Regions from separate parts of the Mus musculus genome. Here all the other regions are reported to be linked to region 3. The links are microRNA targets in miRTarBase. Many come from high-throughput screens and were not tested one by one. Region 3 holds a microRNA gene; each other region holds the end of a gene's coding sequence.

Evidence for each region. Region 3 holds the annotated microRNA mmu-miR-758-3p (UUUGUGACCUGGUCCACUA, at 1,113-1,131, shown strand). A microRNA usually pairs through its seed, bases 2 to 8, with sites in the 3' UTR of a target mRNA and lowers its output. Matches are read on the target gene's strand: a 7mer-m8 pairs with bases 2 to 8, a 7mer-A1 pairs with bases 2 to 7 and ends in A, and an 8mer does both.
Region 1: the mRNA of Rcn2 is a reported target of mmu-miR-758-3p. The part of its 3' UTR that is shown has no 7-base or 8-base seed match.
Region 2: the mRNA of Entpd7 is a reported target of mmu-miR-758-3p. Seed matches in the 3' UTR shown: 8mer at 1,147-1,154.
Region 4: miRTarBase lists Rpap2 as a target of mmu-miR-758-3p. The part of its 3' UTR that is shown has no 7-base or 8-base seed match.

What each region holds. Positions count from the first base shown.
Region 1 is chr9:56,057,666-56,060,808 of GRCm38, reverse strand. Rcn2 (reticulocalbin 2) reads right to left here. Exons shown (of 7, transcript NM_011992.2): 7 at 1,726-2,750. The coding sequence ends at 2,598. Among named protein-coding and RNA genes, the nearest start is that of Rcn2, 17 kb to the right of the region's middle.
Region 2 is chr19:43,729,270-43,732,412 of GRCm38, reverse strand. Entpd7 (ectonucleoside triphosphate diphosphohydrolase 7) reads right to left here. Exons shown (of 13, transcript NM_053103.5): 13 at 1-2,715. The coding sequence ends at 2,478. Among named protein-coding and RNA genes, the nearest start is that of Cox15, 22 kb to the left of the region's middle.
Region 3 is chr12:109,711,746-109,714,888 of GRCm38, forward strand. It overlaps Mir758 (microRNA 758), which reads left to right and starts at 1,065; the gene lies at 1,065-1,145. Mir380 (microRNA 380) reads left to right here and starts at 58; the gene lies at 58-118. It overlaps Mir1197 (microRNA 1197), which reads left to right and starts at 572; the gene lies at 572-691. It overlaps Mir323 (microRNA 323), which reads left to right and starts at 763; the gene lies at 763-848. It also overlaps Mir329.
Region 4 is chr5:107,654,697-107,657,839 of GRCm38, reverse strand. Rpap2 (RNA polymerase II associated protein 2) reads right to left here. Exons shown (of 13, transcript NM_144911.3): 12 at 2,530-2,683. The coding sequence ends at 2,542. Among named protein-coding and RNA genes, the nearest start is that of A930041C12Rik, 22 kb to the right of the region's middle.

The DNA.
Region 1 (3,143 bases), not on the chromosome of region 3:
GGTCTCATGTAGCCCAGTCTGGCCTGGAACTGTCTATGTAGTGAGTATAAAAACTGAATCCCTGATCCTCTGGCCTCTACCTCCCCAATCTTATGTAGTGCTAGTGATCAAACCCAATGTTTTGTGTATGCTCGGCAAGCACTCCACCAACCAGTGCAGGGTTACAGGCCTGTGCTGCTATACCCCACTGCAGCACCATCTTGAAGGCCAATGAAAACTATTTCTGTAATACATACTACATAGAAGACCAAGAACGAATCTTACTGTACAACAGGGGATTTGGATGACAGTAAGTGTGGATTGTCATGACTACTCTACTGCATGGACAGCAAGAACTATGCAACTGTATCGAGAAGCAAGAGGACAAGTTCAAGGCCCACCTGGGAGTACTCTCTCAAAAAATAAAAACAAACAAAAGTTCTATTCTGTTTTAATAGATCCTTTTTGCTTAAGTGCCTATAGAAGTTACTTCTTCAATGCTAATCTTCACTTAGGATGGGCTGAGTCCTGCTGTGGTTCAAAAACAGCAAAAATTCCTCTATCTCTAGGCTGGTATCATTAAAACTATGTAAATAAAAAGCTTATTTCCACCGTGGGTCCATTTGTTCTCCATGTGGCCACTAAGCAATCATGGACATTCAACTCTGTGGCTCTAGTGTTTCCACTGAACCTCCTCCACAGTGCTACGTAGAAGAAAGGGGCTGCCTCTGACTAGTCATGGAGTGACAATGACTACTATACTCAGCTGGTTGGAGCCAGTCACTGCCTACCTTAAGAGGGCTACAAACCAGTTTCCTTTATGCTAAGGAAAACAGTACAGATATTGGTAAACCCTAACAATCACCAAGTTTTGTATCTGTATATTCATGCTGAATGGACAATGTTAACTTCTTAACTAAGTGAAAGGATTTCTGCTAAGGACTAAAGTTAAATCTGTATGATAGGCTAACATCTGTGACGTGGGCTTTAGAGAATCTACTAACAAAATCAGTTAACATCCTGATAACCACAGTAGCTACCTTAAACAATCTCAGTGAGGCCGAGCAGTGACAGATGAGTGATGACAGTAATTCAATTCTTACACTGCTAGAGCCTCGTGATGCTGTGGGTTAGAGTGAAAACCTTAGCTACTAGGGTAAGACAGCTATAGTTAATGCTGACTTCACAGTTTGCATCTACAGCTTAACATCAGCAAAGGCAGGGCAGGAGCTGGTAGTCAACTCTGTCAGAAAAGAGCCAGGGGTGGGGTGGGGGGTGGAGGCGGTTCACAAACACTCACAAGGGCCTGGTGAGCTACACTATGTGTGCCACCTGATTGGTAACCTGAAAAAAACCCAACAAATTCTCAGCTGACTTTTCGCCTATAAATAAAAGGAATGCAAGGCAAAGAAAAAAAAAGAACTATCTCTAAGTCACAAGCCCAGAAAGTTAATTTCTCACCTACTTTCCTCCACTCTAACAAAGGCATGCTGATACTTGAATATGACGAAATCCAATTGTCTGGGTGTGGATAAGCGCTCAGTGAGGTGGCTCTCAGCTTCCACAAGGCTTAAGGTTATCTCTGGGGCTAAAGGGTTTGCAATTCAGTAGCAGAACACTTCTCTAGAATGCCAGAGAAAGGTCCCGGGGATGATTCCTAGCATCTCAAACAAAACAAAAACATTATGTTAGCACCAAAGTGCAAAATCACACTCAGCATAAAAGCAATTGAAAATGTCTCAGGTGCACGTTCAATTATAACATAATTCTTTTAATTTTTTTAAAAAAAGGTAAATAAGACTATGTACCAAGAATAATTAACAATCTTGAGAACATTCACTATCTAATAAAGGAATGAATAATGTTTAATATAACAAAACCCATGCTGAATTTAAGATTTATCTGGAAAAATAAAACAAAAAAAACAAAAACCCAAACATATAAAAAGATAGGACAGTTTATTTTTAATCAATCAAAAGTGAAGAGTTCTGGACAATGTCAATTTCCACACACCATAATGCTATAGTTATACATTAAATATAATTACTATCTATACATATGCAAAAATATAAAGTTCTATTTCATACGACAAAACCCTTTTTAGAAACCATTTTAAAATTAAGTAGAACTTCTCAACATCTATGTGAGGTTTAAGTCCTTGTGAAGGTTCCTTTAAAGGCTTTAAGATAAAACACTAAATCTAAACACTGTCCTTTGTCAGTTTCAAAAGTAAGTCTACTAGTACAAGAACGAAAACTGACAGCTTCATCACGTGCTACTTAAATACTATTGTTTAGACATGTCTAAATCCTCCATGTCTTCAAGTATGGCAACAGAGCTCAACATTCCACAACACAGCACTACATAGATGGAGTACTTAGGAAAGACTGTGTGGTCATATGGCACAACATTAATAGTTTACTCCTTCAATATGTCTTGAAATAAATGACAAGTTCTTGTTTTGTTTTCTTTGAAAAGGCCAAAAGTTATAATCTACATTTAGATCATCTGAAGTGGTAAGACTTAAGAGTGTAAAGGACAACATCTATATCTCATCATAAAAGTCAAGCTGGTAGCAAACTACAGAAGGCCGCATCCTGCTGGGGCGCACTCGGGGGTTAAAGCTCGTCATGATAGAAGTAGTCGTCATGGAGCTGTCGGCCATAATCCGTGGCTTCGCTGGTAAGGAACAAGTCTTGGTTTTCCAGAATCTCTTCTTCAGAGAGCTTTTTGTCACTATTCAAATCCATCTCATCAATCAGATGAAGAGCCTTTAAAAGAAAATAAACCATAAAGTGTCCAGAATCAGTCTTTGTAAGGAAAATGCTCAGGTTAGTGTGATTTGCCAAAACCACATAGGTATACCAGGAGCTCAGTAAATTCCACGTTTTAAAACGATTACACATGCATTGTGTCTGTCTGTCTACTGCTTCTCTCATTATTCTCTTAATTAATCTATTCTGAGTTCTGCATCTCTACACACAGTTAAAAAAGGGTTAGCACAGTGTACAATCCACTTGCGCCTCCAAAGGTAGGACACAGCTGTCATCCTATGGATTGTGTCCTAAGATTAGTACATGACACACTTTTAACTTTCTTGTTTCCTGGGGGGGGGGTTAATATGAGAGAGTTTTATCATTTAATTCAAAACAAAATAGTGTACC
Region 2 (3,143 bases), not on the chromosome of region 3:
AATTGGAGCCCATGAACATGGCCACTGTTAACCTGCCCAGGGACTTCTGACTAGATCTCTCAACACACCAAGACAGCTATATAGAAACCAAGATGAAGCTAAATGTTCCCTGAGGAAGCAAATGGCTGGTAAGAGCATTTTATAGCAACATTAAAAAAAAAAAGCAGAGGCTCACTCACAGGACATAAAAATTAGAATGATGGAGAAGGGAGACAACTGAGAAGTCCTAAGATGTCAACCTCACAGCCCTAATGAAAAGTAGATGACATGAAAGAATTCTTTGCTAGGTGTGCACGTATCTAATGTGCACGCATGGTGGCACACATCTGTAATCACAGCACTCAGGAGGCTGTGGCAGGAGGACCACTGAGAACCAGGCCAGCCTGAGTTACTTAGTGACACCCACTCGGCCTCAAAAAAAAAAAAAAGAAAAGAAAAGAAAAGAGGAGGGGGAGGGGAGGGAGAGGGGAGGGAGGGGGAAGAAAAGGAAGAAAAGGAGGAAGGGGGAGGAGGAGGAGGAAGAAGAGGGAAGGGGAGGAAAGGGAAAGGAGAAGGAAGAAGAGAGAGGGGGCGAGGAGAGAGAGGGAGGAGGGGGAGGAAGAGGGAGGAGATGATGGTAATTGCAGCCTTGCCTAACTGCTAAGTCAACACACTCATCCTCACGTTGGCTTCCTCCCTAAGACCATCTTGACTTTTTTCTCTATTTCATAAATCATTTCATTTCCTTCTGTTCCCAGGAGGAATTTATTATCAAAGAAATTCATTTTTATTCCTTTAGACTCTTTTTTTTTTCTTCTGAACTCCAACACTAGAGATAAAAGGCTTTGGCAAAATGAAGAGAAAATGAGCCAGGTTGGTGATGCTCTCCTTGAAGCCAGCGCTACAAAGACACAGAGGCAGGGATATCAGGGCTTCAAGGCTGGCCTTGGCGACCTAGAAAACTGGGCTCAGGAGACCTGCCTTACTCCCCAAAAGAAGAAATCAAACTCCTGCTTCGGCCCTGGGAACAATCCCAGGTGGGGGCAGGGAGGAGCTGACGATGGAGGACTACAGTATGAAAGGCTGGCTGCAGAGAAGGCCGTCTGAGAGGCAGTAGGTGAGAACATCGGGAATATGGCTTTCCTCTCCCCGCTAGTGGGAGAGCTATTTGTGACAGACATCCAGAAAGTGGCCAGGTTGCTCCATGGCAGATTTATCTAGTTATTCCAAAGTTTAGAATTTGCTGTCTTTTGAGCATCTCAAAAAAAAAAAAAAAAAAAAAAAAGTAAGATCTTTGACTTTAAGCCAGGCATGCTGGCTCATGCCTTTAATCCCAGTGATCGGGAGGAAGATGCAGGTCTCTGTGAGTTTGAGTTCAAGGCCAGCCTGGTCTATAGAGCAAATTCCTCCAGGACAGCCAGAGCTACAGAGACCCTGTCTCAAAAAAACTAAACAAAACAAAACAAAAAACAAACAAACAAAAAACAAAAACAAAAATCAAAACCTTGGATTTTATTGCCTTTGCCCACTCTCCTGATGCTATTCTTTCTTAAAACAAAACATAATTTATAAACAAAACAAGTACATTCCTTCCCAATATATATATATAAGATCTTAGGAGTGAAATGAGGGAAGTCACTTTGAATCTTCTACACGCTATATGCCTGTGAGGCCGTAACCAAAACAGGCAAAACTAGGTCCTGTTCCCATCACGGTTTCTCCAATCTATAAGCACACTTAAGGCTCAAAAGGCAATATTAATGCCCAAGCAGCCTTGTGAGGCACATAGACATGAAAATGTTTTCTATACTGGTCAGACCAAGTATCAGATAAAATACTGTCAGATCTTCAATAAGTCATCCATTTCAAAGGCGCTCTAACCTTTCAGATCTATATAACAAAATCAGAAACACTGCGGGGGGGGGGGGGGGGTGAATCTCCGAGCACATCCACAATGGCTTGTCAAGTAAGCAAGGAAGTTGTATCGTTTTGGTTGCCTTGAAATCTGGTCCACTGAACCTCAGAGATCTTAGGTCCCTATTCAAGGCTGTGGATCTTCCACATAAGGATCTCTCTGTTACAGAGAAAACAGGGGCAACTGCACTTGCTGGAATGTCTCTGGCTTTGTAGCAGTCAATCCAAGCTGATTTCAACCACGCCTCCGGTTGCCCAATCAAAAACTTGCTTCAGCAAGGGGCGGGGGGGGGGGGGGGATGCTACATCCCAGAAACAGATCAAATTTCTGAGATAAAGGAGAAGCATGCTTCATTTGGGCTAAGCTTAGCACCAGCCTCTCGACATTTAGTTCCTCGAAGTTAAATTGCGACTTCTGAGAAGAGGTCCCGTCCTGGGCACCAAAAAGAAATCAAAGTGAATAAGTAGAAATTCGCAGGCCAAAGCAGCATCGGAGGCCAGTTCGAGAAAGTGGAGGAATTCAGTCAGCAGCAGCAGCAGCAGCAATCCGAAGGAATGGGAGGTTCTCCACTTCCGCTCCAGCCTCACGGCCCCACCTGGACCCCAATCATCGGCACCACTTGCTCGATCCACAGCAGGTCCAGAGGAGCCGAGGCTCGGGTTTGTCTGCGGTGAATTCTGTGGATGCGCAGAAGGTACAGGACGATGGCCAGAAGCACCACCAGGGTACAAGCAAAGAAGAGATAGTGGTTGTAGACAAAGGAAAGGCGGAGCCAGCTGCCGTGGGCTGGCCGGACTCCTCCCTGTCCCTGCCGAAGGTCCCTAGGGCGAGTGGAGAGAGAACTGTTAGTTTCAAAGTGGACTGGGGCTGTCGGCTGAAGTCTCCATCCCACTTTATCCCTCTTATCTCTCCACTCAGACATTCTAAGAAACCAGCTGTGGCCAGCAAATGAAGCTTAAGGACACCCAGGGCCAAGGGCTGACCGACTTCCAGCACCTTCCCTTCCTTGGTCTACAGGAGGCGAAGCCACGTGGGCGGTTGAATGTGGGTACAAGAGCAAAAGGCCTTTGAAACTAAAGTTAAAAAAAAAAAAAGTGAGCAGGAAGACAAAATAGGTCACCTGCAATGTAAATCTTTTGTTGTTTGGGGTTTGTTTGGTTTGGTTTGGTTTGGTTTGGATTTTGAGACAGGGTCTCTGTAGCCCTGGCTATTTTGGAACTCTATTGTAGACCACGCTGGCTTCCAACAC
Region 3 (3,143 bases):
GATAATCATGAGGAAAGAAGCCAGCTCCTGCACCACCCTCTCTCCATGGTACCTGAAAAGATGGTTGACCATAGAACATGCGCTACTTCTGTGTCGTATGTAGTATGGTCCACATCTTCTCGTTATCAAAGTCATTCGTGAGGGTTTTCCAGAGACCGAGCCAACTTCATGGGAGATATCCTGTCCTGGCTTCAGCACAGTACTTGGGGAGATGGTAGACTGTCGAGTGTGTGCGTTAATTCCAGCATGTACAGCATGGTCCACCACATCTCTGCATCAGCCGGTCACCAGGGGCTTTCTGAAAGCCATACCAATTGAGAGTAGGGCTCAGGCGGCAGACCCTATCCAACACAGATTACCCAGTGCTTGGCTACAGGCCATGTTCATTACCTACGACTCTGGCCATTTGATCCAAAGCCAATATTTGGCACCCAGCCCAGCCTTACAGGGCATCCTGGAAGTCATAGTGGCATTAAACATGAGTTTGTGGCCATTGCCACACATGCCGATTGCTGGTAGTTTGTGACACTCATTGAGAAGGCATTTTGGAGGTAACACCAAATTAAGTAAAGTGAGCTGGAATCAGCCAGCGTTACCTCAAGGTATTTGAAGATGCGGTTGACCATGGTGTGTACGCTTTATTTATGACGTAGGACACATGGTCTACTTCTTCTCAATATCACATCTCGCCTTGGAAGACTTCCAGGAGGTGACATCTGCTTTGAGGAAGAGCCAGTGTCCCGGTCTTCCTACTGCTGCTGCTTGGTACTTGGAGAGAGGTGGTCCGTGGCGCGTTCGCTTCATTTATGGCGCACATTACACGGTCGACCTCTTTGCGGTATCTAATCCCGCCTTGCGAGCTTTCCTGGAGCTAACACCAGCTGTGGGGTGGGGACACTAAATGTGTGTGCTAGCGCAACCCAGCCAGCGGGTTTGTCTTTTCTTGTGTCTGACAATAACTCTTGTGTGGCAGCCTTCTTCTCAGCAAATTTCTCTGGCTTGGCAGCTTCGTGGGCAGGGTGACTTGCAGACCAGGAAAGTGGCATCGACATGTGATACACGTGTGGGTGCGTGAGGTGGTTGACCAGAGAGCACACGCTATATTTGTGCCGTTTGTGACCTGGTCCACTAACCCTCAGTATCTAACCTTCCCTTGGAGAACTTCCTGGAAGAGATCTCAACTTTTGGGGACAGAGGCAATAAGCCAGCTGTACGCTGTTAGACTTGGAGACAGCATCCTCAGTACTTGCAACATATGTGCCTGTTATGGTAGTATTGGATGGGCTTCCAATGCTGTCCTATACTTGGATCCCTTCCTTGATATGGGGCCATCCAAGTTCAAGAAACGTACCATGTTGTCAGACATGACCAGGGTGTGTGTATGCCATTTATATATGGCACAGGTCGCAGGTCACCTTAGCACACTTGCATGCTAAATCTGTGGGAGGAATCATCTTTGGTTTGGGGGCATCTGTGCCTTTCTGTGGTTACCCAAAATGGTGGTAAGTCCTATAGCCAGTCTCTACTGCGCCACTGCTCTCTGGTTGTGACATAACTTCAGGATCATGCCATGGAGGTCTGCTGTACTGGGGCATGTGATGGGATGGCTGTCAGATATATATCAACTAATGGCTTGCTTGAGCACTTTGACTAACATCCAGTGTGCAACCCTGCATTCAACAGGCCTGCCAGGTCTGAAGGTCACGTTGGGGAATTACCGAGGTAGTCTTGTCAGTGTTCGCTTCTGGTACCGGAAGAGAGGTTTTCTGGGTCTCTGTTTCTTTGATGAGAATGAAACACACCCAGCTAACCTTTTTTTCAGTATCAAATCCCATCTTGGAGGCTTCGTGGTCCAGATCCCAGTCTCAGGGAAGGATGGTCCTGTCAGCATCCAGCCAGGGGACAGGAATAACTGGTTCTCCACAAAGCCAGCGAGTGGATTATCGTTCTGAATGGTGTCCTTTGTCCTCTAAACCCTCCCAGGCCTGCCAGGTCTGAAGGTCCAGTTTGGGAAGGTGTCATTGTTATTGTTAACTGAGGATGTGGAAGAGGGGTTTCTGTGTTTGAAACACATTTGGTCAACCTCTCTTCCCATCAGAACAAACTATGGAGGCCTTCTGGTCCATACCTCAGCCTCAGCTGAGGACACACTAATAGTTATGAACAAGTGAGTGACGGACAAAACCCATCCCATACATCAGATTTCTGTTGCCTGTGCTTCTAACCTTCAGTATCTTGTCCATTCTCAGGAGGACTTCTCAACCAATATGGTGTTCCAAAGTTGGGGAAGATGGCAGCCACCGAGGCAACTCTACCCCAGGTCATCACAGGTAGGTTGCACCCACTTTGCTTCTAACAGGTTAGACACAGCCACCCCCACACATGTCCAGCATGCTTTGGAGGCACGGTGATGGGCTTTTAATCAGCCAACCCCTGCTATAGGACTGTCTATTGTAGAGAACACCCACTGTGTCAGATGGTACCTAGATCCATGCTATTCACACACACCCACATCCTTGTAATAAGAGACTTGGAATCAGCAGTGTTCTAGCAGTAGGAAAGCAAACCTGAAATTGGCACACACATTTGCCCAGTGAGCTTTAAGATATGAAATCTGGAGCGGGGCAGTGGTGGCGCACGCCTTTAATCCCAGCACTTGGGAGGCAGAGGCAGGTGGATTTCTGAGTTCGAGGCCAGCTTGGTCTACAGAATGAGTTCCAGGACAGCCAGGGCTATACAGAGAAACCCTGTCTCGAAAAAAACCAAACCAACCAACCAACCAAACAAACAAACAAATAAACAAAAGATGTGAAATCTGTTCTTAGTCCTTAACTCCACCCAGGGTTGTGGTCAGCAGTAGAGCTTTCTGTGGGGTTCCAGGTAGAACACAATTCTCATCTGCAAATCATGAGCCCTTTTCATAGGCATTTCATATCAGATATCTACATTATGATTTATAACAGTAGCAAAATCACAGTTATGAAGTAACATTGAAAATAATTTTACAGTTGGGGATTACCCAACATGAGGAAGTATATTAAAGGGTCACAGCACTAGGAAGGTTGAGAACCACTCGACCAGGGGGTGGAACTGCCTGCCCCTGCCTGCTGCTTCTTTATACTACCACATGTGCTGGCACACAT
Region 4 (3,143 bases), not on the chromosome of region 3:
AACCCCAAATGGATCAAAGACCTAACCGTGAAACCTGAAACTGGTAGAAGAAATTACAGGGCTATCTTTCGATACATGTCAGTAAAACAATAGGATTCTATTTGCCTAGGAAACGAAGGCATAGGTGAAGAGAAATCCCACAGAATGGGGGAGAATTCATGCCAGCTACACATCTGATAGTATAAAGGACTAAAACCACAACCACCGCCACCACCAAACAACAAAGGCCCATTCAAAGGATGGGCTATGGATCTGAATAGAGTTCTTCTCACAGAAGAAATAAAAATGGCTAAGAAAAACCTCTTCTTTGCAATTACAGAAATGCAAATAAAACAACTTTGAGATTTCATCTTACCCCAGTCAGAATTGCAAAGATCAACAAAACAAGTTCTGGAAGGGATGTAGGGAAAGGGGAACCTTTATTCACTGTTGGTGGGATTGCAAAGTGAGCAGAAATCAGTGTGGAGATTTCTGAAAAAAGGTAAAAATAAATGTACCACTCCTTGCATATGCTCAAAGAATTCTACATCCTGCTCCACAGATACTTACTTGTTCAGCCATGCTCACTGTCACTGTATTCACAATAGCTACAAAACTCAAGCAATCTAAGTGTCTGTTAGCTGAAACCTAGCCAACTACCCAGGGTTAGTGAGGCCATGATCTTACAGGAGAACATATTACTGCTACTTTACTAAACCAACATGGTCCCTAAATACATCCTAAATACTTCTACTCATACATAAGTATAGTGTCTCATTCCTCACCAAAGAAACTTTTCTTTGCAGTAGATGGAAACCAGTAAAGAAAACCCCAAGTACTCAAAGTTCAACAAGCAATGCACTATGGGGTGCCTAGCCCAGATATACCACCAATACAACTCCTGAGCAAGGCTCAGGGAACATCTTGGAAGAAGGCATGGGGAGGTGATAGAAGCTGGAAGACCAGGAGGGATTGTATCTACTAGAAATAACGGTGCAGCTTCAACCATGATTCTTCAACAATATGGCTGCCTAAAGAAGACCAGAATAAAGGCAGCAGCAATAGACATGCTAACACAGAAGGGGAAAGACACTGTTGAGAGGGATCCCAGAGAGGGAGGGAGAGAACGAAGGAACTAGTCCTCTCCAAGGATGAGCCTCTCAACTGGTTATCCAATATCAAGTAGTCAGCCCTGAAAGCATATACATACAAGCAACCCTAAATGAATCCAGCAGGTTGTATGTATGTATGTATGTGAGTGATTATACAACAATAAAAAAAGAGGTCATGAATTTGAGAGGAGGAAGTCATGTAATTGCTTTTGAGATGGCTACTCAGGCAAATCACCATTAAGATTGAACAACCTGAGTTCAATCTCTGGGAATCACATGGTAGGAGGAGAAAACCTACTCCAAAAAGGTGTCCTCTGATCTCCACACAGTAATGTAATATAATCAAATATAAAAATGATATAAACACCACAGTAAGAGTTAATTTAATTTACCTGGACCCTTGGGGACTCTCACAGACTAAACTACCAAACAAAGAGCATGGACCTACACCTCCTGGCACATATGTAGCAAATGTATCGCTTGGTCTTCATGTGGGTCCCCTAACACTGGAGCAGGAGATGTCCCTAAATCAGTTGCCTGCCTGTGGATCCTCTTCCCCTAATTGAGCTGCCCTGTTTGGCCTCAGTGGGAGAGGATGCACCTAGCCAGGATGGAGGGATACCCAAGGCTTCCTCCACTCTCTCAGAGGACAAGAGGAGGGAGGAGGGACTATTTGAGGCAAGGGACTGGGAGGTGGTGTAGTTACTGAGATGTAAAGTAAATGAATAAATAATTATGGGCAACACCTTCGTTCATCTGTGGTACTTCTGTAATCTGGTTAGTTAATAAACAGTCACAGCTTGGCAAATTGAAAAAAAAATTGATGAGGGAAAAAAACTGATCAGAACAAGCATGTTTTGGGGACTGGAAGCAGAGGTAAGGAAGACTTTCTATTCTTATTACATATGTGTATTTCTGTGTTGTTTGGTTTTTTTTTTTTTACAATAAAGAAAATTTTGAGTTAATTAAAAAAATTAGGATAAATTCTTTTAATTTTGAATTTATCTGAGCACAAGAAGGGGGCATGTGAAATGAAAAAACAGGAAGAAGTACAGTCCAGGGACATTCTGATGGCCAGCTTGCAAGAGGCAAAAGACTGGAGTGTCTCTGGAAGCAGTGATAAAAGTCAAGAAAGCCAGCTATGCAGATTTGCCACTTGCCTGTACTGAGCTAACAGGGACGCTGCTAGGAAGAGGTGCATGCAATGCTGTCTATTGCAGTGAGCTGCTATTTCCTGGAGAAACACTTCCCAGGTGGGACAAGGGGGATGTCCCAGAATGCAAGAACCAGAGTCAGAGCTGCAGAGCAAGTTAACTTGAGGTTTGCACTTGGCTTTTGAAATTTTAAACTTATGGCTGGACACAGTTCAGGGGGAGAACACTTGAGCATGAATCAGAAGCTCTCACAGGTAACCAAACAGAGATACAATGCAACTTACCATTCTTGTTAGCTAGCAGCTGGTTCTAAATATCATGGTTAATTTTTCAAGATCTTCGAATTTTAAATGCAATTCTGTCAGCAGGGTGGCTATAAACTGTGTAAAAACCACATTTTTCGGAGAATGCTTCTGAATGCCAAGAATCGGTGTCAATCTGAAACCAATAATAGTAATGTGTATGAAGAAATAAGATGGACCGCAGGACACTCATCTTCACCTTGCAGATAACATTCCTATAGAGAAAGGCTTTACTAAGACAGAAGTCTCAGCCTGAGGGACCAACAAACACTGTCACTGAGAAAAAAACGTCTACACATCTGTGCCTAGTAACATACTTGTTATGCCAGCAAAAACTCTTAGGAGAAAAGTAAATGCAAGTGTGTGTGTGGTCTTTTTTTTTTTTTTTACATCTATATAGAATGTTTGGATTATACCACCCGAGGGGGGAAAAGACAAAAAGCAAGTTTACCATTTGGGATGTAACTTTTTAATTTTAAATTTAAATAAATCATATATCATAAAGTATTTAACACCAATTGCATGTTTTCCTCAAAACACTTCTGATACATTTCTCTAAAGACTGACTAAATGTAATGGAAAATTTAATTCTCATC